Linked DNA regions of Drosophila melanogaster. The gene in region 1 interacts genetically with each later gene. Each region holds a gene or a part of one and is shown in the gene's direction. Other genes may lie near its edges.

Region 1 (6,241 bases):
GAGCCACATCTCTGGGAGCTGATCGGGGCCGTATGCGTGAGTTCTTGGATCACAAAAAGCCCACGAACAGGTGTAGCATTTGTCAAAATATTTAGCTAATTTCATTTGCAGGCCGCCCTGATAGTGGCTTATATCAACATACGCATCCCAAATCTTCTCGGTGACCTGGTAAACACACTGGCCAGATATGCCAACACGTACGTGATGGATCCGATTAACAACTCGTTCGTAAAGGACGTGAGCAAACCGGCCAGCAATCTGCTGAGCCTATACATGCTGCAATCTGGTTTCACCTTTATGTACATCTACCTGTTGAGCCGCGTCGGTGAGCAGATGGCAGCCAAGATGCGGCAGGATCTGTTCACGCAGATTGTCGTCCAGGACATCGCATTCTTCGATGAGAATCGAACGGGCGAGCTGGTCAATCGACTAACCGCCGATGTACAGGACTTCAAGACCTCGTTCAAGCAGTTCGTCTCCCAGGGACTGCGAAGTGCTGCCCAGCTGATTGGCGGCAGTATATCGCTCTTCATGATTTCACCGCACATGGCCGCCATTGCGCTGGCCAGCGTTCCGTGCGTGGTTATGTTCATGACGTATTTGGGCAAGAAACTGCGCTCTCTAAGCAAAAGCTCACAGGCGCAGGCGGAACGAGCGACGGGTGTCTGCGAGGAGGCGCTGTCCAACATCCGAACGGTTAGATCCAGTGCCTGTGAATACCGCGAGATGCAGCTGTTCGAGGCGGAGACCAATGAGGCGGCTCGCCTGGCGCAGAAACTCGGCTACGGCATCGCAATCTTCCAGGGCCTGACCAACTTCTTCCTCAATACACTAGTCCTATCTACGCTCTTTATGGGCGGCCACCTCATGTCTACGGAGAGTCTGTCGCCGGGTGCTCTGATGGCCTTCCTGGTCGCTTCGCAGGGTGTGCAGCGATCCCTTGCCCAGGGATCCATCCTGCTGGGCACCATGATCAGAGGCATGTCGGCCGGCAGTCGAGTCTTCGAGTTCCTATCGCTGCAGCCACAGGTGGAATTGCTGCGCGGCTACATCATCCCGCAGGAGCGGCTGCACGGCGAGATTCGATTCGAGAACGTCTCATTCGCATATCCCATGCAACCCGATCATGTGAGTTGTATTAAAGTATATCTTCATTTCATTCTCGAGACAATGATGGCATATTTACATTAATCGATGCTCTGTAATTTGTAAACTCGCCACTTTTTTATATAATATTGAATAACTTCTTATCGCTTCCGCAAGTAGATAACCATTTTATAATACCCACAAACATTTATGGCCAATATTTACGGCTAAGTGATAAAAAGATTAGAGTCTAGGCAATGCAAACAGTAATGAACTTCCTATGTCAATTTTTGCTTCATTCACAGCTGGTGCTCAAGGACTTTAGCCTGACGCTCCGCCCGGGCCAGACGGTGGCCCTGGTGGGAGCCAGTGGATCGGGCAAGTCGACGATAGCGTCGCTGGTGGAACGCTTCTACGAACCATCGGCGGGCAATATCAAACTGGACGGCTACAAGCTGTCGGACATATCGCCCTATTGGCTGCGGTCCAATGTCCTCGGTTTCATCGAACAGCAGCCGGTGCTGTTTGGCACATCGATATTGGAGAACATCCGATATGGTAAACCAGATGCGGGCGAGGAGGATGTGTATGCGGCAGCGCGTCTATCACAATCGCACGACTTTGTGACCGCCCTGCCCGATGGATATGCGACGCATGTGGGCGAACGGGGCACCCAGTTGAGCGGCGGTCAGCGGCAACGCATCGCCATTGCACGGGCGCTGCTCAAGAATCCGCGCATCCTCATCCTCGACGAGGCGACGAGTGCCTTGGACGCCACCAGCGAGGCGGAAGTGCAGAAGGCACTCGATACAGTGGTCCAGAATCGCACCACTCTGGTGATTGCCCATCGCTTGTCCACGATACGAAACGCTGACCTCATTGTCGTCCTTGATCAGGGACGCGTCGTGGAGGTGAGTTGTCCTAGACCATTGGTATCTTCAGAAATATTTATATTTTCCCTTGTTTTAGACCGGCAAACATGACGAACTGATGGGCAAGCGGGGCCTGTACTTTGAGCTGGTGCGTCAGCAGGAACGACGGGACATCCAGGAGCAAGTCCAGGCGGTGGAGGACGTTGTGGCCGTCAAGGAGCAGCAGGCAACTGCAACAGAAACTTCAACAGCCGCAACAATTGCAACTGCCGCAGAAACTTCCGCAGCAACAGTGACAGTGGGGAGCAGCAGCTTCGGTGGCAGGGCAAACGCAGCGCAAGGATAGTGACGATGTTAGGCAAATTGAATGATTCCCTATACACTTAATTTAATATTCTTATAATGTTTTCACTTTTTTTTTTGTTTTCAACTGACCAAAAACAAAAATGGTGAGAGACGCTAACAATAAGTATACAATAAAATAAACGCTGAAGACAGTATTGTTTTTGTTATAAACAGAAAGTATTTCATTGTCATTATCGCTAAATTCACCGGGTTCATTAAAAATAGATGGGATGCGTGAACTTAAATTAAAGTTTGAAAAACTGAATATAAAACACTTGAAATCCCAATTTCCGTTAAATAATATATTCAATGGGACCGCATTATTTCTACAACCATACTCATATACGGTCACTCGAAGATTAAAGAAAAACTATTTCAATATTCAATTCTGTTCAATATTTCTTGTTAGTGACAAGCAGCGTGTTTATAATAAAAAATTTGTTCATTAAAGAGTTTATATATTTTTTAAGTTGATTGGCAGCTAGACGATAGTTTTGAGATTCTTTAATGACAGTCCTACGGTCACACTGGCTGAATTGTATTTTATTTTGTGTAGTTTTGTTGTTGTTTTGTTTATTATGCATTTCTTTTTTATTGTTTGAGTTAGCGAGCTGTGCGTCGCGTCGGCATTTAAACAAAATCCGCGGCATTTCGGTAGTTGCGATTAATAATTGCTTGGCGGGAATTACAGTCGAATAAGAAATTGGCGAGGAAAAACCAACAAATGTGCAATGTGCGTCAAGTCAATAGCAATACAAACGAACAATTATGTAAGTGTGTGTGTGTGTTTGGTTTAGTTTAGTGTACAAGTCCAGCAAAAAACAATAAAATCTAAGTAAAAAACCAGTTGTTGTTGCTATTGGCTTTGCTAATGTCGTGTTGTTCCCGTTCCCCCACACACATTTTCTAACAGCGCGTGCATGTGTGTGTGTGTGTGTGTGTGTGCAGCACCTGTACGCGTGTGTGTGTGTGCTTCTGCCTCCGCACAGTGGACACATTCCTGAATTTTGGAGTCCAAAAATATGCAAATTGCCTGAGTGAATTAATTGACTTAATTAACAAAAATTGGACCGCAAGTTATGATAACCATAGTTGATTAAACGGAATTAGTTTCTAGCGGGACTAGTGCGACAAATACTCAAACTTACTTGATTTTTTACCATTCGTTCCATTCGTAAACCTAGCTTGTCTTGGCTATTTTATAGACTTCAGTCAGGGTGGCACACCCACTCATTTCCAATCTCTTCAAAGCAAAATCACAGCACTGTGATATGGTTGGTTAAAGTAAAAGTTCAATGGGTTAAGCAGGTGATTAAAGGCACATTAACCCCTAATGGAGCTTGGACTGCACTTAACGCACGGCTCACATGTGACCACTGTGCGCGCGTGCAAGTGTGTGCGTGTGCATTCGTCATTCATTGGTCATGTTTATGCGGTCGGAAGAGGGACGTGCACAACAACTACAGTTAGCTCAGCTGAAGTGCAATTGCGATTGCAGTTGATCCAAAGAGTCGCGTTTGTTGTTGCATCAACCGGAGTTTTCACGGTCAATGTTGAGCTATATCCATAAATACACAAACATTCATGTGTATTTGCATATACATATGTATGTCCATATGCATATATCCATGGATTATGCATGCAAATCGATGATGGAAATCAGGCGGTATAGCGAATTCCGATGGGGGGCAGCTGACTCAGGATCGAAGTCTTTATCACTGAACCCTAAACTAATGACTACCGGACTCAATTATTTTGTTTTGTTCGGTCATTTTGTTTAGTACGCAAAAATATTTACATGGCTATCGCTTTAGCAATAAAGTTCGAATTGCTGTCCCAGTATATCATAAAAAATCACGGAGAGTTTTGAATGCAATTGGTTTTGAAAAATGCCAAACCTTCCTATCATTAACACTTAAATCAGTTAGAAAAACTAATATAATACTATATTAGTTGATAATAAATGCATTTCATGTATGATATCATTGTAGATATCTTTTTTCTCAACGTTAATGATAATGGGTAAAGATAGCTTATTTATAGACCTACATTGCCTATATGATATTTGCTTAGTTTCCACTGGTTCATATCGACCTGTTGACGATAATTGGCCAAGTTCCGTGACTGCTGGTCTATATTTACTATATTTAATACCTATTCCGTCATCGACTAATACCTTTTTTTTAACCTCCCGCCCCCCTGCTCTTTACCCACAGTGCTAACGTGATCGGGCCAAGGCACAAAAACATTCCATGCATCATCAGCAGCGCCTGCGGGCAAATGGCGGACGAGGAGGCACTGGATTGGGCGCAGGATCAGGACCTGTGTCCGGAGGACACTCACCATTGTGCGCCCATTGTCGGGGTCAACTACTGCCACATCCAGAGGAGCCAATCGTGATGGCTCTCGGCCAGCAATGGCACTGCGATTGCTTTCGCTGCTCCGTTTGCGAGGGCCATCTGCATAACTGGTACTTCGAACGGGAGGGCTTACTGTACTGTCGTGAGGATTACTACGGCCGATTCGGCGATGCCTGTCAGCAGTGTATGGCCGTTATCACCGGACCCGTAATGGTCGCCGGCGAGCACAAATTCCATCCGGAGTGCTTCTGCTGCACGGCATGCGGCTCCTTCATCGGCGAGGGCGAATCGTACGCCCTTGTCGAGCGTTCGAAGCTCTATTGTGGCCAGTGCTATGGCAAACGTTCCTGCCAGCCGGCGGATGCGAAGGCGCGGATCACAACGGCCGGCAAGCCGATGCACTCCATCCGTCTGGTCGAGATACCCAAGGACGCCACGCCCGGCCTGAGGGTCGACGGAGTGGCCCTCGACGATGGTTGTCCCACGGTCCGCATTACAGAGTAAGAAATTAACTGAAATTACTATAATTTACATCAATGAACTCATTGAGATGCATGCATTTGCATTATTTATTAACTTTATTGTTACATTTGTTTCTTGTTGTTTTTTTTAAGATCTTTTTCAAAGATCAGATTGTACTCTTTTTTGAACTTCTAAGTTGCCTTTGCGTTTAATGTACATATGTTATACAAACCAAGCCGTCTTCTCACTTTTTACACACAAGTCACAACATTTTTTTTATATGAATTTAAAGAAGAATGTCTTTTTGGTTACATTTTGTACTGAAAAAAATTTTACCATGGCTCAAATCTACGAAGTACGTATTGTGAAATGATAACTATTATTTGATTGTATATAATTTATTGCTTCAATCTGACTCACTTTTGGTTGCCATTTGTTAAAGTTTGCACATTAGCTAACTAGGTCTAGTCCTAATTGCCAACTAATTTCGCTGGGCGTTCGTCCTTCGACTCTTTCTGCATTTCCCTAATACATGCTTGCCCAAAAAAAAAAAATAGCTTGTTCTGTAACTTCTTCTTGTGGCTAACCTCGATGGCGGAACAGTGCTGTGGGGCGCCTTATAGGTAACAAATGTGCCTGAGTTGAATTAAAAGCAACAACTAAGCTAGTAGTAACACTTTGCTAATTATTGATTTATTTCCTATTATCCAGAATTGATGTGAATCTTACAAATCTGCATATTGGAGATAGGATATTGGAGGTGAACGGCACACCAGTTAGTGATTCGTCCGTGGAACAGATCGACAAATTGATACGGAGTAATGAGAAGATGCTTCAGCTGACCGTGGAGCATGATCCGGTGCAAGTGTGCCGCTCCTGCAGCCAAGCGGACATCCAGCGGGCCATGTCAGCGTCCACGTTAATCCTGCCGCTCAGCACATCGGCCTCCAGTGTCGAGGTGGGCAGGGAGCGTCTGTACAAGACACCCGGCGAACAGGGCACGAAGGCCAGGAAACTGCGACAAGCCACCAATGCCTCTACGACAATACCACCGGCAGCTGGAGCCACCGCAATGACGCAACTAAAGGAGAAGGAGCGTTGTTCCAGTCTGTCCAA
Region 2 (6,339 bases), on another chromosome or scaffold:
CAGCCTCCAGTCCCTTGGCCAACTTTCCCTTCCTGTTCTCGGCTGTTCTCGCAGCCACAGCCGGGCCATCAACATTTGGCCAATTTAAAGTGGCATCAATTATTGCGAACCCATTCATTAACCGACCAGTTATCCCTCATTCCGTGATCGCTTATCGCAGCCCATCCATATCCCTAACCCAATCCCGATCCAAACAGATCCCCACCTCCCAATCCGACACATTTCCAGTCTTGTGAGAATCGGGGTCACGCATGAAGCTGCGGACGTGGAAAGTCTGGAGGATGGGGCCCGGTTGACGGCAGCCGGACCGCGGGAGATTAAAGACCCCGATGGGGGTACTCGGTGCCGAGTTATGGCCAAGACAAAGTTACTGCAATGATGCTTAATGGCAAGTACTTAAGGCGGAATTTGCACTGTATTAAGGATAATATTGATGGGTGGGGTTGATTCAAAGCTGAAATCAAACGAAATGGCTTACATTAAATGGTGGGCTATTAAAAGCCAAGACTGTGTTAGGTTCCGTCCTGGTATTATTAGCTAGCCCATAGATAAGGCCTGCTTATTATTTTAAAGGCGTAATGACAGGAAAAAGGTTAATTCAATGAACTTAACAGCGTATGGTAGTCCGCATATGGTGAGGTATGTATATATTAAGAAAACCATAGAGATTAAATAAACGATTTGCAAATTAGAGATAAGAAACTGAAATTCAAATAAATTAACTACAAATACATTGCGAAATCTTTAATCCACACCCACTGCTATAAATTACTCAATAGGTTAATCCGACCACGGCCAACACAACGTCCCATCAAAATATTTCCCGGAAAGATCTCCATCAGCCTATCAACGGGTTCATAAATTTTCCACCCGCTCCCGTGGACCACTAACTCCAGAGTTAGCGACAAATTTATTCAGATTGTTTCTGTAGCCATTTACTGTCGTCCAAGAGAGGCAGCAAGTGGAGCCTGAGGAGGAGCATCACTTGGCCACCCATGTACGCAGTTCAACGCCAGATTCGCCCGGGCTGAAAGAGAAAATTTATTGTGTTAGCAGCGGCACGAGTTTGCATCTGCTATTGCCGTTGCTGCTGCTGCTGCAGCCTTTGTTGCAACTAGCTACTGATGTTGTTGTTGTTTCTGCTTTTTGGCACTTGGCGTTGTCCCCTTTTCGCCTCTGAGTGCTGCAGAATTTGTGACACGACCTTTAACGAGATTTTTCCTCTCCACTTGGCGCATCATCACGCGACTTTCCAGCTGCAGTCGCTTGCCGATTTGTTGCAACACATGTTGCAGAAGCCGCCAACAGCAAAGCAACAGCAAACATTTGTTGGGGAATTAGCAAGCGACAGACAGCGAAGCGACTCCAGTCGGGAGTTTGGCGTTTTTAGCTTGGAGTTTGGGGGTATGGAGTATGGGTTTTTGTGCGACTGTCGACTTCGGCTTCGGTTCGATGAGGAGGCCGGGGAGCATCATCAACGTCAGATGCACCTCCTGCTCCGTCTGAGTCGCATCCTCCTCCATCTCGGTATCCCTGCTGGCTGCATCTGCTGCTTCTGCTTCTGCTTCTGCCTCTGCCATTGCATGCACATTGAATTCCAATTGGGTTTGGCAGAGTGGCGCAAACTTAATTGTCAAGGTTCGTTAGTTCTTTTTCCTTTGCAGCATTTGCAGCTCTTAGACGTCTTCTGCTAATGTTCGTTTCTAATGGTCGGTTTGAGTTACGGCTATGCCACATCCAAGACTCAGACCCAGACTCTAACCGAGATGGAGACCCCGTCGAAGTGGCGGCTAAGGAATTCTCAATATTTCCATTACTTTGTGGCCATCGTCTGGGATTTGCTGCGTTTTTAGCGGAATTTGAGCTCTCTGTCGCCTCTCTTTCGGCCAACTATTTAATTCACATTGGTGGAAACTCGATTGTGCTGCTGCCCCGTTGCTCTTGCCCATGCCCCTGCCCCTGCCACTGCTCCACCTGCTCCATCTGCAACACAGCCATGCAACCACACAAAATGAGCAGCACCGCAGAACGTTGCTTTTCTTCCACACTTTGTTGTGCGCTACATGGAGGTATTTTGGGCTCCTCGGTTTTCTAAGAGCTTCCATAAATAATGTCAACGGAGGATCAACACAAAGTATTGGAGTTATGACGTGGATGGAATTCATTCAGGTTTTCCTTTGTGAATTATTGCGAAGGAGGCCTTAATCTGCTGTTTGAATCATTTGCGGGGCCAATTGAGCTTCCTGTATAAGTTACTACTTTATAAAGTAGAAAAAAAGGACATAATAAATTGCTGAAAATTTTAAATACTTTTGCATTATTATCTCTAAAATAATTAAAGAAGCATTCTAAGATTTCTATGAGATCTCTAAATTCTTCCTCCAAATGCAGACAATAGCAACTGTTACCCGAGATCTTCCGTATGCGATCTTAAGTTTTCCATCACTTCTTGAATAGGGTGGTCTGGTCCCCCCACTCAAGCGCCACTTTCTTTGGGACCTTTTAGATTGATCTTGAATTCAGACGGGTTTCTCCAGTTTCTTTTGTCTTACGCAAGCGATATTCATTTTGTGGCTCCGGGAAAGCTATTGATTCATTGGGAAGACCCAAGATCTATTGACTGCCCGCCTTGTAGAGCATTTCTCCGGACGGCCACAGCCCAAGCCATAAATTCTGCACACAGTTCGGTTTGGCTTAGTTTTTTTTTTTTTATTGTTTTTTGTGTTTGTATCATTCTGTTTCTGTTTCTGTCTTATTTATTTGGTGAGTAAAACGCGACTCGGTTTGGGAATGCAGTTCGCTGCCGACGCGGACGCCGCCGTCGACTTCGACGTCAGCGCCTTCTCCACTTGACTTTAAGTTGAAATGCGTCCGATCAATGGCGATCGAGTTAGTTTTGTTAAGATCTCGTCCAGGCGAAGAGTTAAGTGCAGCCGGCCGGTACTCGAACTCGTACTCGTATATCTCGGCAGCATCTCCACCCAGTACGAAGATATATCTGAGTCAGTTCAGTTCTACGTGTGCGTGTGTGCGAAGGATCCCAAGCAGGATGCGAATGTCGCGATCGCTAACGGTTCTCCAGCGGCTCTTTTAGCCACGTTCGGGTCTTTCTGTCTTCGCTCAAAGGCCTGTAAGTCCGCAAGTCTGGATGTCTGGATGTCTGGATGTCTGGAAGTGTGCTAATGTGATAAGCCGCTTTAACCGCAAACTGCCTTTGGCTGCCACTCTCAGCCTCAGCTTGGAGTTCACTCTGGGCCAACTTTGGCGGCCCCACCTGGCGATCAGATTTTTGGTATGTATTTGGATGCCAGCTCTGCGGTTCTTCAGTTTGCAAAGCTGCAATCAATCATAGTTTTCGGTTAGGTGTTTCATACATATATGCAAATCTATTCTTTTGAGGCTACAAAAGTTCTATTATAACATTTTGGCATACAAAAAAGAGGAACCAATTTCGTCATGATAGGTGCTTAGTTTCACTTATAAAAGAGTTCATACTTAAGGTTTATGTTTGCTGAAATAAAAGAGTGATTATCCCTGAGAATGCTGTATGTGAATTGTAGGCATATAATTCATTCCTCGAAAAATACGTAATTACAGGGCAGTTGCTTCCGTTCGGAATGTCTTTCGCCTGCTGCTTTTATGGGAAGTTTGGCCATGCACTTCGGGTATCTGCAGTCACCACCATCGTCACTCACATTTCTGGCGACCCCGTGACAGTGTTGATGTACCATTCTATCCTATCCTATCCGATCCCATCCCATACTTTCGCGGTACGCATATTTAAAGCCCGATATCAATCTTTCGCCGGAATGAGCAATGACACTTAATGGCATTTCGTTCCTCCGGCTTCCCGTCCCGGCCAAAGTTCCAGCTCCAACTTTTATGGCCAACTTCCCCGTGCACGGTGCATGGCGCAGGTTTCAGGCCTCAGCCAAGACAGCCACGACATTGCCTTGTTAAGTGTTAACGTTAAGTGCCTTGTTACTTAATTCGCCTCTCTTTTATCTCCTCGTACATTTTTACCCGCTCTAATTCCATGTGTGAGAGCGCGGGGGGTGGGCAGTGGCATTGCCGCTGTGGCAGCAAAAAAACAAAAGCATCAAAAGCAACAAAAAATGCTCTTACTCTGCGATGATCTTAAAATGTACCCTTTCTACGGGTATAATTACCAATCGGCTGGCAGTGCAATTTTAAAATGCAAAAACCATCTCCAACACGTTGGGCCATCTTCAAACATTTTGAAGTGTTTTCACAAAATCAGAAAACCAAAAATTTTCTTTTCATCAATGATATTATGTGAGTAAATAAAGGTATATATCAAATATATATACAAGTGTCAAAAATATCAACAAGGGTTCACATGTTGGTTGAAGTATCTTCCGCTTCGGCTACCCAATTTGAGTAGATTCGCAAAGTCGCACTGAGTGCCAGAGAAGATCTGCACCATTATCACACGCGACATTAAGTGCAGCCATAATGTAAGCGAGCATTTTCTTTAATTTACAGTTAATTGAGTCTTACGGGGTAATTATGCAAGAAGCCGGATTCGTTTTCCATCCCCACCGCTCTCTTAATTGTGGCCATCCCCATATCACTGTCCCTGTCCTCGGGCAGTTAGTTGGCAAGCGTAAATCAATCAAAGTGTTTTAGTTTGGGCCTTAATTAAGGCTTGCGGGGTCATTAAGCCTCGTTGCGTGCGAGTCCATTGGCAGTGGAGGACACCCTACACCGTCCTTCATCCTTACCCCTTTGCTCTCTGTGAGGCAAAAGGGGCGGTCGCAGGTGTCCGGCCACAAACCCACTTGTTGCGCCAGCACCTCTCGTTGAGGGGAATCTGCACCACCGCCAGCAGCAGCGGCGCAAACAAATTGCACTGATGCGATAAGCCCAGCTCCACTGACAATAAACGAGTGCCCAATCAATCTTGGACGGGCGGCCGCGGAAGCCACACGCAAACGTGCTGCTGCCCAGCGACAGTGGGGCCTCGAGAAGGAGGATCTTAAAAGGGATTTGATAGAACAGGTGAAGTTAGATAGGGAATGTAAATGTTTGTCCCAGGGGAATCTCACTGAAGAATCAGAACTATTTTTATTACTCATACGCAGCGTTGGCTAATCCTACTTCCTATTTTGTGTATTTTGTTGAGTAATTGGGAATCCAACTAGTTTAATTAATTTTTTTTTTAATTAGCTAGTAGTTCAAAGTAATTCTTATTCTTTTATATGATCATCAAATATTTCTTACAACCGATCAATAATAATTTGAGCAATCAGTGATCCTTCCCGATCGTTCTCACTGTGCCGCAGGTGAAGTGCGTCGAGATCTGTGGATGGCAGAGGCTCCCGGCGACTTGGGCGTTGCAGCGGTAACCGCTGGCTTCCTTTCCTCAGCCGCAATCGAAGCTGCGGCAAGTGTCTGTGGAACCGTTAGCAGTCATTAGCAATGGAATCAATTGGCGGCCCATATCCAAGTGGCCAGTGGTTAGCCGTAATAAAGGTGGCTAGGGTGGTGGATGCAGCTAGATAAAGCCACTGGCACACAGGAAGTTCAAACCGATAGTGTTAGCTGTCCATTGATGGATGATTTTATATACGATTTGATTTGCAAACCACTGCCTTCTTCCACTTTGCGGTAGGAAACCAAGATGAAAATGTCGGAATGTTTTCAATGCGATGCGGTATAAGTTGCCTTGTCAGCAGTTTTTACTACTTTTACATTCGACATTAGTAACACCTTTTTCTTATTACAAATACATTTACCATTAGGCACCTTACATAGGAGGCTTCTTTGAAACCCTTGCATCTAATCAGATCTTATACCTATCTGCGTTATATGGCGTTGTATCCTTCAGGCCCTCATTATCTCCGATCGGCAGCTTCTATCAACCTTTCTGCTGTTCCATTTTGCCATAGTTCCCCTCCTCCTAAGAGGGCTGCGCCCCATCTCCGATTACCCAAGCTAATACCCACACAGAGCGAGATCCACTTGGCACTTAGCTATCATTCCATTCCGCACTCTCACTCCAGGGGCAATCAGGTAGCTCGTTTTGGTAGCTCAGGCTCCTCTACGAACGCTGATTATCTTCAGGAGCGGCTGGAGGAGCACTCAAAATCTTTGCCTAGAACTGGGGAAATGATTTGGCAAACGAATTGAGCTGAAAGGAAATTGCGTGCAATAAAATATAGATATGTTTGGGTACCGACTATCAGCCGTTGATCATCAGAAGGAATGGAGAGCACCAGGTACACGTAAAAGTATTGGCATACGCTCGGCTCATCTTGGCCAAATTGGTAGCCACGACTATGACATACCCTAGTAGAGGTAACTTCGGGACAAATA
Region 3 (6,349 bases), on another chromosome or scaffold:
CGTGTGTTCTGTGTATCTTTTTAGTTATTAATCTGTTATTCACTTCTGTTTTAAGAAATTGTTATTATGTAAAAAAGTTTTGAGTGATCTTCAGTCATTGACCGAACAAGATGTGTTATTTGTTTAATATATTTCCCAATATACAAAAATATTTATTATTGAATATTTCTTGAAACTCAATATTTACTGTTTTTCGAAATTCTTATCGTAAGCATACAATCATTAATCACGATTAAAAATGGTTGTGTTACGTGCTTTAAAATTCTTGATGATGAATTTCAAGTGCTCGTCTTATCTTTGAACCCGTTCATATGTACATGGGTCCATACATACATATGTACATACATACATACTTATGTACATACATACATATGTGCAAAGTGCACAAGTAAATGAATGAGCTTTTAATTCGGGAAGTGGCTATTGCGATAGCTGTGGTCCGATTCGCGCATTCCTTGCACTTTTATGAATAATCCTAATTCCTTGAATCGAACATAAAAGCATCGCGCTCAGCACTTCCAGTGTGAAATCATTTACAATTCTAGAAAGCAAGGAGGGTGTGGTTTCTTGCAGCCCCAAGTTCGAAACCCTTGTACTCATGTGAATGATCTGGTCTGAGAGAGGCAGCTTAATCAGCCGGGCTGTATTTGCTTTCTTCGCTGCCCCACAGTGCTCTTTTAGTCTCCATCAGCGAAATAAAAGTCTACATGTCGTCTCACTTTATTTTCTTTATGACACAATTCTTCGCTGTTTCGGAATGTCTTTTGATAAAAATATAAAAGTGAAGCAAAACGAAATCTGCAGCCGAGAGTTGTGTGTCCAGAAATTCTTAAGAAATGACTAAAGGCCAGGCCACTAACACTTATGAAGAATTCCAGCTGACTTGCCCTACACCTACGCACAGTGGTCTAAGAGCCCGCTAAAATTTGCTTATCGGCTGGGCTTGTAGGATTCTAGATCTTAAGAAACTTTCATATAGAGCTTTTGCAAAATCATGTTAAATAACAAATAATATTTCAGATCACTTTTTAGATTACAATAATATAATAATAACTATAATACTGAAATTCGTTCGAGATCTTAAAATCTCAGCATAAATATTCTGCCCTCGAAGCTTTACTTCGCACAGGAAGTAGAGGCTTCAGCTTCATCTCCAACTTCATCTTGATCTTCTCCAGCAACTCAGTTGCATCAATCTTGCTTTGCTGCCATTAGTGAGTGCGCGCCCACTTCATCGCCCACTCGACACGCAATGTCTTCTGTTCGTGTTGCGTGTGCGCACTGTAACAGCAAAGACGAGATGATCTGTCGAGATCGGTTAGGTCTGTCTGGGCATTGAGCGTCGATGGCGTTTTCCGCCGAGGGGAGCACTCCAACTGCAGAGCAATGATCGCTTATGGTTACGGGGAAAGGTTCGCACAGTGGGACGAAAGGTTAAAGAGTTTTTGAGATCCCATTTCTGCCTTTTCTGTGATCGTATCAATGTATATCACAGTGTTCATGGTCATGAAAGTATATAATTAGTTATCTTCTATGTTTGTCGATAAACAATTGTAAAGCCTAAGCAGCTGTTAAGTGATAAGCATTTCCAACATGACTGTCCCAGAGGAATTTTGTTTATACCAATTTTCACTGTCATTTTATGAAACATTTAATCTTGCGGATTGTCTGTACAATTGAAGATAGTTTCAGAAATGTTTTGATATTGGATGCCTTTGACTCACGTTTTCGTTTATTCGTCAGCAACGAAGGGGTTGGTTTTCTTGGCAGCTGGCCCACTGTTCACACACCCAAAGGAAAGCTCCAATCGGGCGACAATATTTTCGTCCGCTCTGGTTTCCTTTCGCTGTGCCTCCCACTTGCGGTCGAAATGCTCAGCCGCAGGCCGCAAGCCAAAATGAAAAGCCACTCCAAGTGAAAAGCTACGTGGTGGGGCTCTTTCTCTCTTTTAACTGGCTCTCTTGGCACTGAAAATAAAATACGACAATATGGACTCTGATTTAAAATACATTTTTTTTAAATTCGATTTTTCAAAATTAGTTTACTACTTGTTTACTAGTTTATTAGTTGTTTACTCAGAAACAACAATAATCATAATACTGGTTTCACAAGCTGTAACCGCTGATACATACTTTTTAAACATTCCTTTAGATATATATTACTTTAGATATAGCCCCTATTACGAAGCTAAGCTATCGTTTTGAATATACTATGCCTATCCATACATCCATACATCTATAAATCTAAGAAGATTTTTTCGCAGTGCAGTTTGTTTACCAGCTCTCAAACGCTTCGCTCTCTTGCTCCCCCGCTCTCCGTGAGCAGCTGCGAGAGAGCCGGAGCGCTCGTCTATTGGAGCCTCAGCATCGGGCCCCCCTTTGGATTTCAGTCGATTGCGACGCTTTTACTGAATCGCGAGCGCAGCGCGTGTGTTTTTCGGAGTCTCTCGATTGCGGTCTCCCAACGGCGTCCTACGATCTCTGGGATTAATATATAGAATATGTGACAACACACTGCCAAAGGTGCAGGCAAAAGTGCACAGATAACGCGATAGAATATACATATAAGAAACCAAGCCTAATCAAAACAAAAGGCAACGAAAAAGTGTTTAACGGCAAACTACGGCGGGAAAAAGTTGATGAAAATCAGTGGAATCGTGTTAGTGGCAGGTTGGAGCGTGGGAAATTGTTTACTTCGAGTGCAAGAACAGTTTGCAGTAAAAAAAAAAGTTGACAAACATCAAAAGATATCTAGCACTAAGATAAACGATAAAGCAGGAATGCCAGAAGCAGTTAGCTAAAAAAAATAATATAATATAATAAACTGGCCAAGATTTATGGATCCGTGTCACTCGCCTTAAGATTCCACTAACTCTTGGCAAATCTTTTCGGCGCGTTGCTCGCAAAACATTTCAATTTCATTAGCATTTCCACTAATTATGGAACTAATTATCAACGGACAAGACATTCGAATATATGACATATTTGCCCAGATCTGGCAGAGCATAGAATTTTGGTTAGCCCCATTAATTTTCGCCTCGGGGCCCCGAACGGATTAAGATCGTGGGTGTGTTGAGATGGAAATTAATTCGGTATTTCTGTGTTTTTCTGGAGGGAAATGACCGAAATAGCCAAACAAACATAACAACAGGCAGCAAAAGCAATTAAATTGTGCCCACTTAATCTATTAAAATTATGACATTTTTCACATATTTCAAGCAATCGAAGCCAAGTGCATTCTCACGAGTGGTGGTGGTAGTGCGATGGGGGGGGGGGGGACTTCCTTCCCCTTCCCCTCGTAAAAGTATCTCGAGTTACGACAGCAGATGGAAATGCTGGAGAATGATGTAAACTCGGCTGACATAGTGCGCACAAATGAATATTTTGTTGTTGGGGGGTTCTGCACTTACGAGAATCGCTTTCGTTTTCTCCCCAATATTTTGTATCTCGCAGATACGTTCAGTGGATGCCATTTGTTTACGACCAGACAGCTGCTGTCTTTGTCTCTCCGATTGTCTGTGCGTTTTGAAACCTCTAACTAAGTATCTACAGATCACTCTGGATCTCTGGATTATTTGGGTTTAAAAGCTCGTTTTAAGCCCCAACTACTTAGCACCTCTGGATTCTCCATCATCGTAATTCATAGTGCAGTGAGTTCATCGCCAGGTTTGAGTTCGATTTTCGTTTGCTCAGCGAGTTGCTCTGTGTTTTGTTGTTGTTGTTCCTTGTTTCTGTTCTTTCAACTGGAAACAAGATTCTTATCGCCCAGCCATACAAATTCAATTAGAGTGTGTTGTTTCGATTGCTAGCGAAAGATGAGTGGCTTCGATAGATTTCGAAATCGTTAATTGTTAGCAGCGAGTTGATGTGCAATTAAAACATTGGGTTAGATTCATTGCTCACAAATATTTTGAAATAAATAAGTGCAATACTATTGAATTGTTTGCAATCGACAAATATAACCAATTAAGCTTCCATTGAGCCAATCAAAAGACATTGATATTTAATTCCAGAAAAGCCTTTTATCTGCTCAGTACGTAGGCCATTGGCCAATATAGGGTCTATATATCTTATCAAGACCCCAAAGGCCCCAAAAGTCAGTGGGCGATAGCTCGTCGCTTTTTCCCGAACCTATTACAGAAGTGGAATGTGAAAAGCACGCACAGTTTACAGCGGCATAAATTGGCCAAGTTTATTGAAAGGCCCGGCTAAAGGCCACTGAGCGGTGAAGAGAGATCGGTATCACCCACACAAATGAATTTCCCTGGGCTGATACCCACTTTTCCGTTTGGCCACGCATTGCGTTTTCACCTTAGCGCCTTCGGCAAGGTCAACACTCGCATTCACACACATTTTATCTACTTACTAATAAAATATTTATATTGAGATCGCTAGGAATTTCCTGCAAAATAAACACGAAATTGTGCCTTTGACTTTTGAATTTGACTTCGTAGAAGGAAGACCGAATCGAGAACAACAATTTCGGCCCGACGTCATTCCCAAATGGACTGAGTAATGCCTCAGGTGTGGAGGTAAATGGATTTGGACTTGACTATAGCCAAGACCTGGAAGGAAAGTGAGATTTTTATTTTCTTATTGCCCTTCCTTTTGGCAACGATCTGCGGAAATCTCTCGTATTTTCAATTAATTTCGCTCGATTTTCCCAGTTTAGCCTCCCTTTGTTAGACGACGAAACGTCGCCTTTGATTTGCTAGAAATGTTTTTTTTTTTTGTTTTTTTATTTTTCTTTTGGATATTTTTAGTTGGCGATCATTGGTGTTGACGTAATTTGGCAACCTTGATTCCCCGTTCCCTTCTCGATACTCGTATTTTTGGCCCGGCTCGCTTTGTGTTCGGTCGGTGAATTTATGTTTATTATTTTTTACCTTTTTCCAATGTGTCGTTATTTGTTTGGAACGAAAATCTAAAATGTGGCCTGCATGTTCATTTTGGTATTTTTATGCTTCCATAAATCTGTCTTTATAGACCGTTTGTTGGCTCAACTAAATCTACAGGCCATCGTAAATTGAGTTAGTTGCATAGATCATCTATTGAGATTCACCCACGCACATTGGGATTAGGAAGTCAGAGTAACTGGTCCGGACTTTTTGGTCTGATTTATCGCTCTTGTTGGTGTTTTTATGGATCTTTAGATACGGTTAGATTGATTTGCATCTTCAGTGATTACGCTATAAAGAACCATTTTTGACTTCTCTATCTTTTTGATCTTTAGATACGGAAGATTAAGGTGCATCTTAAGTAGAGTAATCACTTCAGATGAAGATCATTTGACTTGTTTGACAGTGGACTTTCATTGACTTAACTAAATATCTTTGTTTCGAGTATTGATTTAGGTAATTTATTTCTTAGGTTTGAAGCATGATGAACTGATGAACTGACAGACAATGTTTACATTACCAGTAGATTTATTTCTCGTCTTTTTGAGAGCTCTTCATCATATATGCAGCTTAGATCATAGATCTCTCACCTCACCACATCCCTTTAATCTTTTAATGCGGTATTTTGTCAGTCTCAGTCAATTAATAGAGGAAATTCGAATGCACAAAGCACTCTCCAGACAACAATTTCCAACATTAAATCACTTGGACTTCCACGGGGGCAGGGAACTAGTTTCTTTCAATTTTTTGTTTCTTCTTTTTTTTGTGGACTGGGGCAAAGCTCTGATAGACGGGCGAAGACAACGACAACTTCGACGACGACAACTACAATATCCACTCTCTGACAGGCTAACCCAACGCAAACAAAAACGACAAATCCGTCGTCGAGAGCCCCGAAAGGCCAAAAATAAAAATGCGCTTATAAATAATTCAAATAAAACATTTTGCCGGTGGCGCAGTGCAACATCGTCAGCCAAACCTGCAGACCTGTTTGGGGAACATAAAATGTCACTTAACATATTCTCGATTAATCATTAACGTTTCAATCAAATCAGTGCGAAAAGCAAGTGAATCTCGTTCGACACCATGGATAGAACAATGTACGGAAAGATCGATCCGGGTGCTAGGCAACCATATCGTACGGCTCGCAGCAAGGGTATCCTGCCAGGATGTAAGTATATATCATTGGTTCCACCAATACTTCCCATGCAATATTTAAAGATGTAATGGTTTCCGGTAAAAGTGTGTACCATAATATAAGTTCAACCGATTAGTATTTGCTAGCTAAGAAAAATTGCAGCTTTATAATTTTAACCATTTAGAAAACAAGTTGTTTTGATGGAAGTCCAGAGTTTGATCCTAGTTAAGCTGGCAAATGAAGGCGACGGAGCTATAGCATGGGAGGTCGTTCATCTGGAAGGAGGTTGTCGACAACCACAGCTCGACACATCG
Region 4 (5,798 bases), on another chromosome or scaffold:
AGATTCGAAACCACCGTGATTTTCGAACCATTGTTATTTTCCTTCTCGCATTCGGTCACACTATTTTCAAACGTAAACAATTGATTTTTCCTGCTAAACAAAAGTGGTTGAAAATGTCGGGAATCGCTGCCAAAAAGATTGCCGAAGCGGAGGACCTGGTGAAGCAGGCCGAGAAGAGGTATCCCCAACAAAAATATCCTTATAAAGGGGTTTCCAAATAACACCCATCTTTATTTGCAGCTTGAAGTTGTCCATGCTGAAATGGGTTCCTGATTACGATAGTGCTGCGGATGAGTATTCCAAAGCTGGTGAGTTTCACAAAGTAGGAGTGACTAATATCACCCAGAGTATCTATCTATAAAAACATTGTGACATCAATGAGATATGTAAATACTATGAATTACAGCTAACGATTATCCCAAAGTATCCATAACTTGCAAGATACACACATATTGGTGTACAATTATGTATCTTTCTTTTACATTTTTAATTGCAGCCACTGCATATCGAATAGCTAAAAGTTATGATAAGAGCAAGGAGTGTTTTCTGAAGGCAATCGACGCCTATAAAAACAACAAGTCTTGGTTCCATGCTGCAAAGGCATACGAACAGGTGAGCTTAAATTGAAGTTAATATAAGTGAAGTTAATAGGAAATTTAAACCCTCTAAATGTGCACATCTTCTAGATCATTTTGCTGTCAAAGGATGCCGATAAGCTACACGAAGTTGAGGAATACGCCAACAAATCGGCGAGTTTGTATCAACAGCACGGTTCCCCAGAGGCAGCCGCATCCGCCTTGGATAAAGCCGCCAAGTTAACTGAATCCAAGCATCCTGACATGGCTTTGCGCTTCTATCAGCATGCTCTAGAAGTCATAATGGTTCGTCCTATTTGACACTGCTCTAGTCAATTCCATTCTTAAACTATTAATTTTATACTTACCCGACAGATCGAGGATTCCGTCCGTCAAGCAGCCGAGTATGCATCAAAAGTTTCCAGGATACTGGTCAAACTAAGGAGGTATGTACCTATGATTGCAACGAATCACTTTGGGTATCCTTAGCTTATATCATCCAATCACTCCAGGTACGACGAAGCCACGAATGCGCTCAAAAAGGAGATCAGCTTGAATCAGCAAACGGAATCTTACGGACAAATTGGACGCCTAGTTGTGGCCTTGGTGATGGTCCAACTGGCTCGCGGGGATTCCGTGGAAGCCGAAAAGACCTTCAGGGAGTGGGGAAACTGCTGCGAGCCAGAGGAAGTGTCCACACTGCAGACCCTTCTGCAAGCCTTCGATGACGAGGATCCCGAGTTAGCTGCTAGGATGCTGGCATCCCCATTCATACGACATATGGATGTTGAGTACGCTATTCTATCTAAAAACATTCCACTACCTCAGGGTATACAGATGGAGAAGAAGGCTGGCGACACTGCTGCTGTGAGTATTTTTATTCTAAAAATGGAATTTGCAATTTTTGTTTTGTAAATTTGGCTCTTATTATGATGTTATCGATAGGCGATTGAATCTGCCTTTGTTGTCGATAGAAGACTTGGGACAGTGCGAAGCAGTAAACTAAATAGCTAACAAGAATTTCGTATTTTCTCTCTTTCTCTCTCGCAGGAAACCAACGACGCCGAGGACGAAGGTGGCTTGTGCTAAATTTCTTAATGTTCGGTCTGCTTGTTAGTCAAAATATATTTATCGTTAATAATATCGCTTTTAACATATTATATTAACTGTTAAATACAAATTTCATCGCAATCGTTGTACTAATTAATAAATACTAAGATCAATACTATACAACAAAGAATATCATTAGCTTTGGGATGAATTGATATTGAAGTAATAAATTGTAGCTATAAGTGTAAACTATGTATATATATTCTATGTTCCAAAACAGCGAATGTGTTAAGATTCAAATCTGTAAATCTTCAGCTTTATTACACGAAAGTATAGTGCAATTTGTTAATATAAATAAATAAATTAACTCAAACTATACTATGTATTTTAAAGCACCCTAAAATATTTGACATTTTGAAAGATCGAAAGTGTGCCATTTCACCGTTCCAAACGCTTCACAAACGTCGCGACGCGTCACGACGCATGTTGATACTTTGCCGGCGCCTGGCAACCCTAACCTGTGCGAAATAACCGACCAAATTGATTCGTCCGGTTGTTCGTGAAAGAAGGCGGAAGGTTAAACAGTATTTGTAAAATATATACTCGGCGAAGCAGCAATTTGAGAATTGTGAAAGCGAAAAACTACAGGAAAAATGGTACGTACACTTGGGACTCGCATTCAGACTCGGTGGTAAAAGCGGCCGGTCATTGTGCACTTTTGGAAGCGAGGTGGAGTGCAAATAATGTCTTCGATTCGATGAATCATATAAGCATCTCTCCTTTGAAATCTGTATATACATACATATTTAGATAAGTGTGTATATATCAATCATACATATATTTCCACTTTTTTTTGCCTATATGTTCGTTGGCCATATTCGGGCATATACATGGTCATGAATGTGTGCGTATACATATATACCAAATTAGTCATTGGTAGCAGCGGATATTACTCATTTATTGGAGTGTTTCATACTTCTCAGCCGCCACTCACACTCATAACTGGCAAATTCGCGAAAGGCAATCGCGAAAGAATGCTCCAAAGTGGCAGCTGGAAAAATGGAGCGATTAAAAATTGAAATGTTGGAAAGAGAAATGCACACACATTGGATTTTCATGTCTATACATATATATATTTTTACACACTTGAGCGTGTGTGGGTATACCGCTTTTTTTATATTTCGATGGCTATAAATATGTGCGTATGTATGTATCTGCGGGGCAATGCTTAATGCTTATTTTCTCGCAGACGCAAAATGTGTGTACATATGTACGTCCATATTACCATACAGAAATATGTATCAATATATATCCATATATGTATCTGCAGGCATACATATTTAAGGTGTGATCGTTTCCTTGCCGCCTTGCGGATGTTCATACATACATACACATGATGTTTAGCTGTGTGTGTGCAGCAGACGACTGTTTGCATGTGGGACGATTTTGATTTTCTCGACATTTTCCGAATATTATGGAAAATCGGGCATTTTCCACCGTTTTGTGAGCGCAACGAAATCGTGGGGAAACAGCCACCTCCCTTTTAGTTTTCTTTCTCCCTCTTGTCGGCTTGTTCTCACCCTTAAACTTGCCGGCACTTGTGAACTTACCCTTGAACTTTCCGAGCGCCGGGAAAAAAAGAAAGGAAAATCTAACTGTAAATGGTGCCACGCCCACCACTCCCAGATAAATCGGCGTGCCAAGTGTGCGCACGCCTTAACCGGTAAAAGTTCTGCGGTGGCAATGCAAATAAAGTAGCATAAATTATTTACCTTTATGTTTGTTATTGCCGGCAATCAAAGAAATAAAATTGCAAAGTCGAAAAGGGACGGATATACTGTCAGCTGAAGGTGGGCAGTTATGTCTGCCAGTCAGTTACATACGCACATATGTACATCAGTGAGGTACAGGGTGCCTCGTGTCTTATGTGGGCATAAAACATTGAACTTCACTTATTTTTTTTTACAATTCAACTACTTGGTACTTCATGAACATTTGTTTTAAGGGAATACTTGGGGAAACGCAAAGAGAGCACCCTGTATCACATACATGCACACACACTTGGTTGACAGTTTGGCGCGCATTGAACATTCAAAATACATTCTCTGATTTGCATCTCTACCTTCTCTCTCTCTAAAGGCTTCTGGTGTAACTGTGTCTGATGTCTGCAAGACTACATACGAGGAAATAAAGAAGGACAAAAAGCATCGCTATGTCATCTTTTACATTCGCGATGAAAAGCAGATTGATGTGGAGACTGTGGCAGATCGCAACGCCGAGTACGACCAGTTTCTAGAAGATATCCAGAAATGCGGACCTGGAGAGTGCCGGTAAGTTCCGCCGGTTAGAGACACCCAGACCCATCGAAACTAACCTAATTTAACATCTATTCGCTTGCACAGGTACGGACTGTTCGATTTCGAGTACATGCACCAGTGTCAAGGCACCTCTGAGAGTTCAAAGAAGCAAAAGCTGTTCCTTATGTCGTGGTGTCCCGATACTGCCAAGGTATGTGAATAGCCAGTTGCCAAGTAATGGCGCAGAACTCATTTCGATATCACACACCCACAGGTCAAGAAGAAGATGTTGTACTCCAGCTCCTTCGATGCTCTCAAGAAGTCGCTCGTGGGCGTCCAAAAGTATATACAAGCCACTGATCTTTCCGAAGCCTCCCGGGAAGCCGTCGAGGAGAAACTCCGGGCCACCGACCGCCAATAAACTGTACGAGCACTGTGCATTGCATTTAACAAACAAGGCATGCATGAAACAGCGATGGAAACACGTATCCTGTTGAGATCGCCAATTTGTATGAGAATTTTCTACATAATTTGTATTTTCAGTAGAAATAAAGAATGAAATATTTAACTTGACCAAGTCGCGTTTCCGCTGTGGTAAAAATCTCGTACCGCAGAATACACTTTATTATAAGGAGCAAAGATTACATTGTACATATGATGACGGTTCTAACTTATAGACCGAACGCTTAATAGCCATGCTGGATCACTAGAGTCTGGAGAACCTTTCTAATCTGGTGGCCAGTGTTCAGGCACGACTTCAAGCCCAGCGAGAAGGCCACCGTTAGGATGTCGATTGCGTGTTCCTGCAGCAGCACCGACATCTCCGGCAGATTGTCAATGGCCGTCGCTGCCACCGAGGAGTTCTCGTCCCGCAGGCACTGAATGTAGGCGTTAAGGGTGCACAGGTTGATGTCCGAATTGCCGGGATTGTGCTTCAGATGCCTGATCAGTATGATGAAGGCGATGGACCGGATCTGGGCACTCGGCGAGAATATAAGGTTGAGCAGTCGTTCGAACAGCTCGTTGATGAACACAAATCTCTTGGAAGTGAGGCACTCCAGCTCCTGCATGGGACCCAAGACCACGTCCTCCGTGTTGGACTGCTTTATGATCTTGACCAGATCGAGGAAGTGCGGCGATATGTCCGTGTAGTTCGACCGGCTGTACGAGCCCAAGGTTAGAACCGATAAGGGACCCCTACTGCTGCTTGGATCGATGGGTGTTTGCGGATTCACTTCGATGGGATCCTCTGTTACCACGGGCTTGCTGGCCGATGGCTTTACATCGAAATGCTCATCCAGATCGTACTCGTACTTAACTTCCTCGTCGTCCAATTCCGTCGCCGAGTGCGACTTGTGCTGCAGCAGGGCAACGGCCTGGACCAAAACCTGCAGTTTGCCTAGTGAGGTGTACTTGGCTGCAAGTTCCTTCAGGATGCCCACGTACTGTTCGATGAAGAGCAGAGCACTTGAGGGATTGTAGTTGATGTAGGCTTGGAGCATCTGCACAAACTTGTTCAGCATTTGGCAGGCCTCTTTTACGTTGCTGTGGTGCTTGAAGAAGTTGAAGTAGCACGACAGCGTGTTTTGGATCTCGTTCTTGTACGCCTCCTCAAAGATGGTTGGTTGCAGCAGCTCCAGCGTCCTCAGGATCTGTACAAATCGGTGGAAGTGGTGCTCCTCGCGCAGGGCCTTCATGCTGAGCTGGGCCCGACCTTGCATAATGGACGACAGCACGCCCAGCTGGCGAAGGAAGAGAAGCGGGTGGGAGGCAGCCAGCTTGCGAAGGAGCAGCTCGGTGTCCGTGGACAGGGTTTCAAAGTCCTTTTTGCCCACCAGACTGCCCAAGCAGGTGATCAGATTGTTGGACACCTTGT

The links.
Region 2: of LIMK1 (region 1) and Sb, changing one enhances a phenotype caused by changing the other (phenotypic enhancement), as found in Drosophila melanogaster (one study listed by BioGRID).
Region 3: of LIMK1 (region 1) and Pax, changing one suppresses a phenotype caused by changing the other (phenotypic suppression), as found in Drosophila melanogaster (one study listed by BioGRID).
Region 4: of LIMK1 (region 1) and tsr, changing one suppresses a phenotype caused by changing the other (phenotypic suppression), as found in Drosophila melanogaster (2 studies listed by BioGRID).

What each region holds. Positions count from the first base shown.
Region 1 is NC_004354.4:12,588,763-12,595,003, reverse strand, and holds the start of LIMK1 (LIM domain kinase 1), read left to right. Parts: upstream 1-2,810; 5' UTR 2,811-3,073; intron 3,074-4,519; 5' UTR 4,520-4,555; coding exon 4,556-5,163; intron 5,164-5,320; exon of another isoform or gene 5,321-5,421; coding exon of another isoform or gene 5,422-5,480; intron 5,481-5,655; exon of another isoform or gene 5,656-5,682; coding exon 5,683-5,748; intron 5,749-5,836; coding exon 5,837-6,241. Other genes in the region: CG1824 (uncharacterized protein), read left to right, coding at 1-36, 112-1,128, 1,392-1,997, 2,056-2,304. UniProt on the Drosophila melanogaster protein: Protein kinase which regulates actin filament dynamics. Phosphorylates and inactivates the actin binding/depolymerizing factor tsr/cofilin, thereby stabilizing the actin cytoskeleton.
Region 2 is NT_033777.3:16,113,268-16,119,606, forward strand, and holds the start of Sb (stubble), read left to right. Parts: upstream 1-2,893; 5' UTR 2,894-3,292; intron 3,293-6,339. UniProt on the Drosophila melanogaster protein: Hormone dependent protease required for epithelial morphogenesis, including the formation of bristles, legs, and wings.
Region 3 is NT_033779.5:19,419,588-19,425,936, reverse strand, and holds the start of Pax (paxillin), read left to right. Parts: upstream 1-2,384; 5' UTR 2,385-2,522; exon of another isoform or gene 2,523-2,658; intron 2,659-5,745; 5' UTR 5,746-5,983; coding exon 5,984-6,068; intron 6,069-6,169; exon of another isoform or gene 6,170-6,256; coding exon of another isoform or gene 6,257-6,349. Other genes in the region: lectin-37Db, read right to left, coding at 6,257-6,349.
Region 4 is NT_033778.4:24,043,149-24,048,946, reverse strand, and holds tsr (twinstar), read left to right. Parts: upstream 1-2,141; 5' UTR 2,142-2,278; coding exon 2,279-2,281; intron 2,282-3,764; coding exon 3,765-3,955; intron 3,956-4,027; coding exon 4,028-4,133; intron 4,134-4,196; coding exon 4,197-4,343; 3' UTR 4,344-4,494; downstream 4,495-5,798. Other genes in the region: gammaSnap1 (gamma soluble NSF attachment protein 1), read left to right, coding at 114-178, 241-308, 497-612, 687-881, 951-1,021, 1,088-1,442, 1,626-1,664; IntS1 (integrator 1), read right to left, coding at 4,609-5,798. UniProt on the Drosophila melanogaster protein: Exhibits F-actin depolymerizing activity and regulates actin cytoskeleton dynamics. Required for cytokinesis in both mitotic and meiotic cells and for aster migration and separation. Promotes cell motility during ovary development and oogenesis.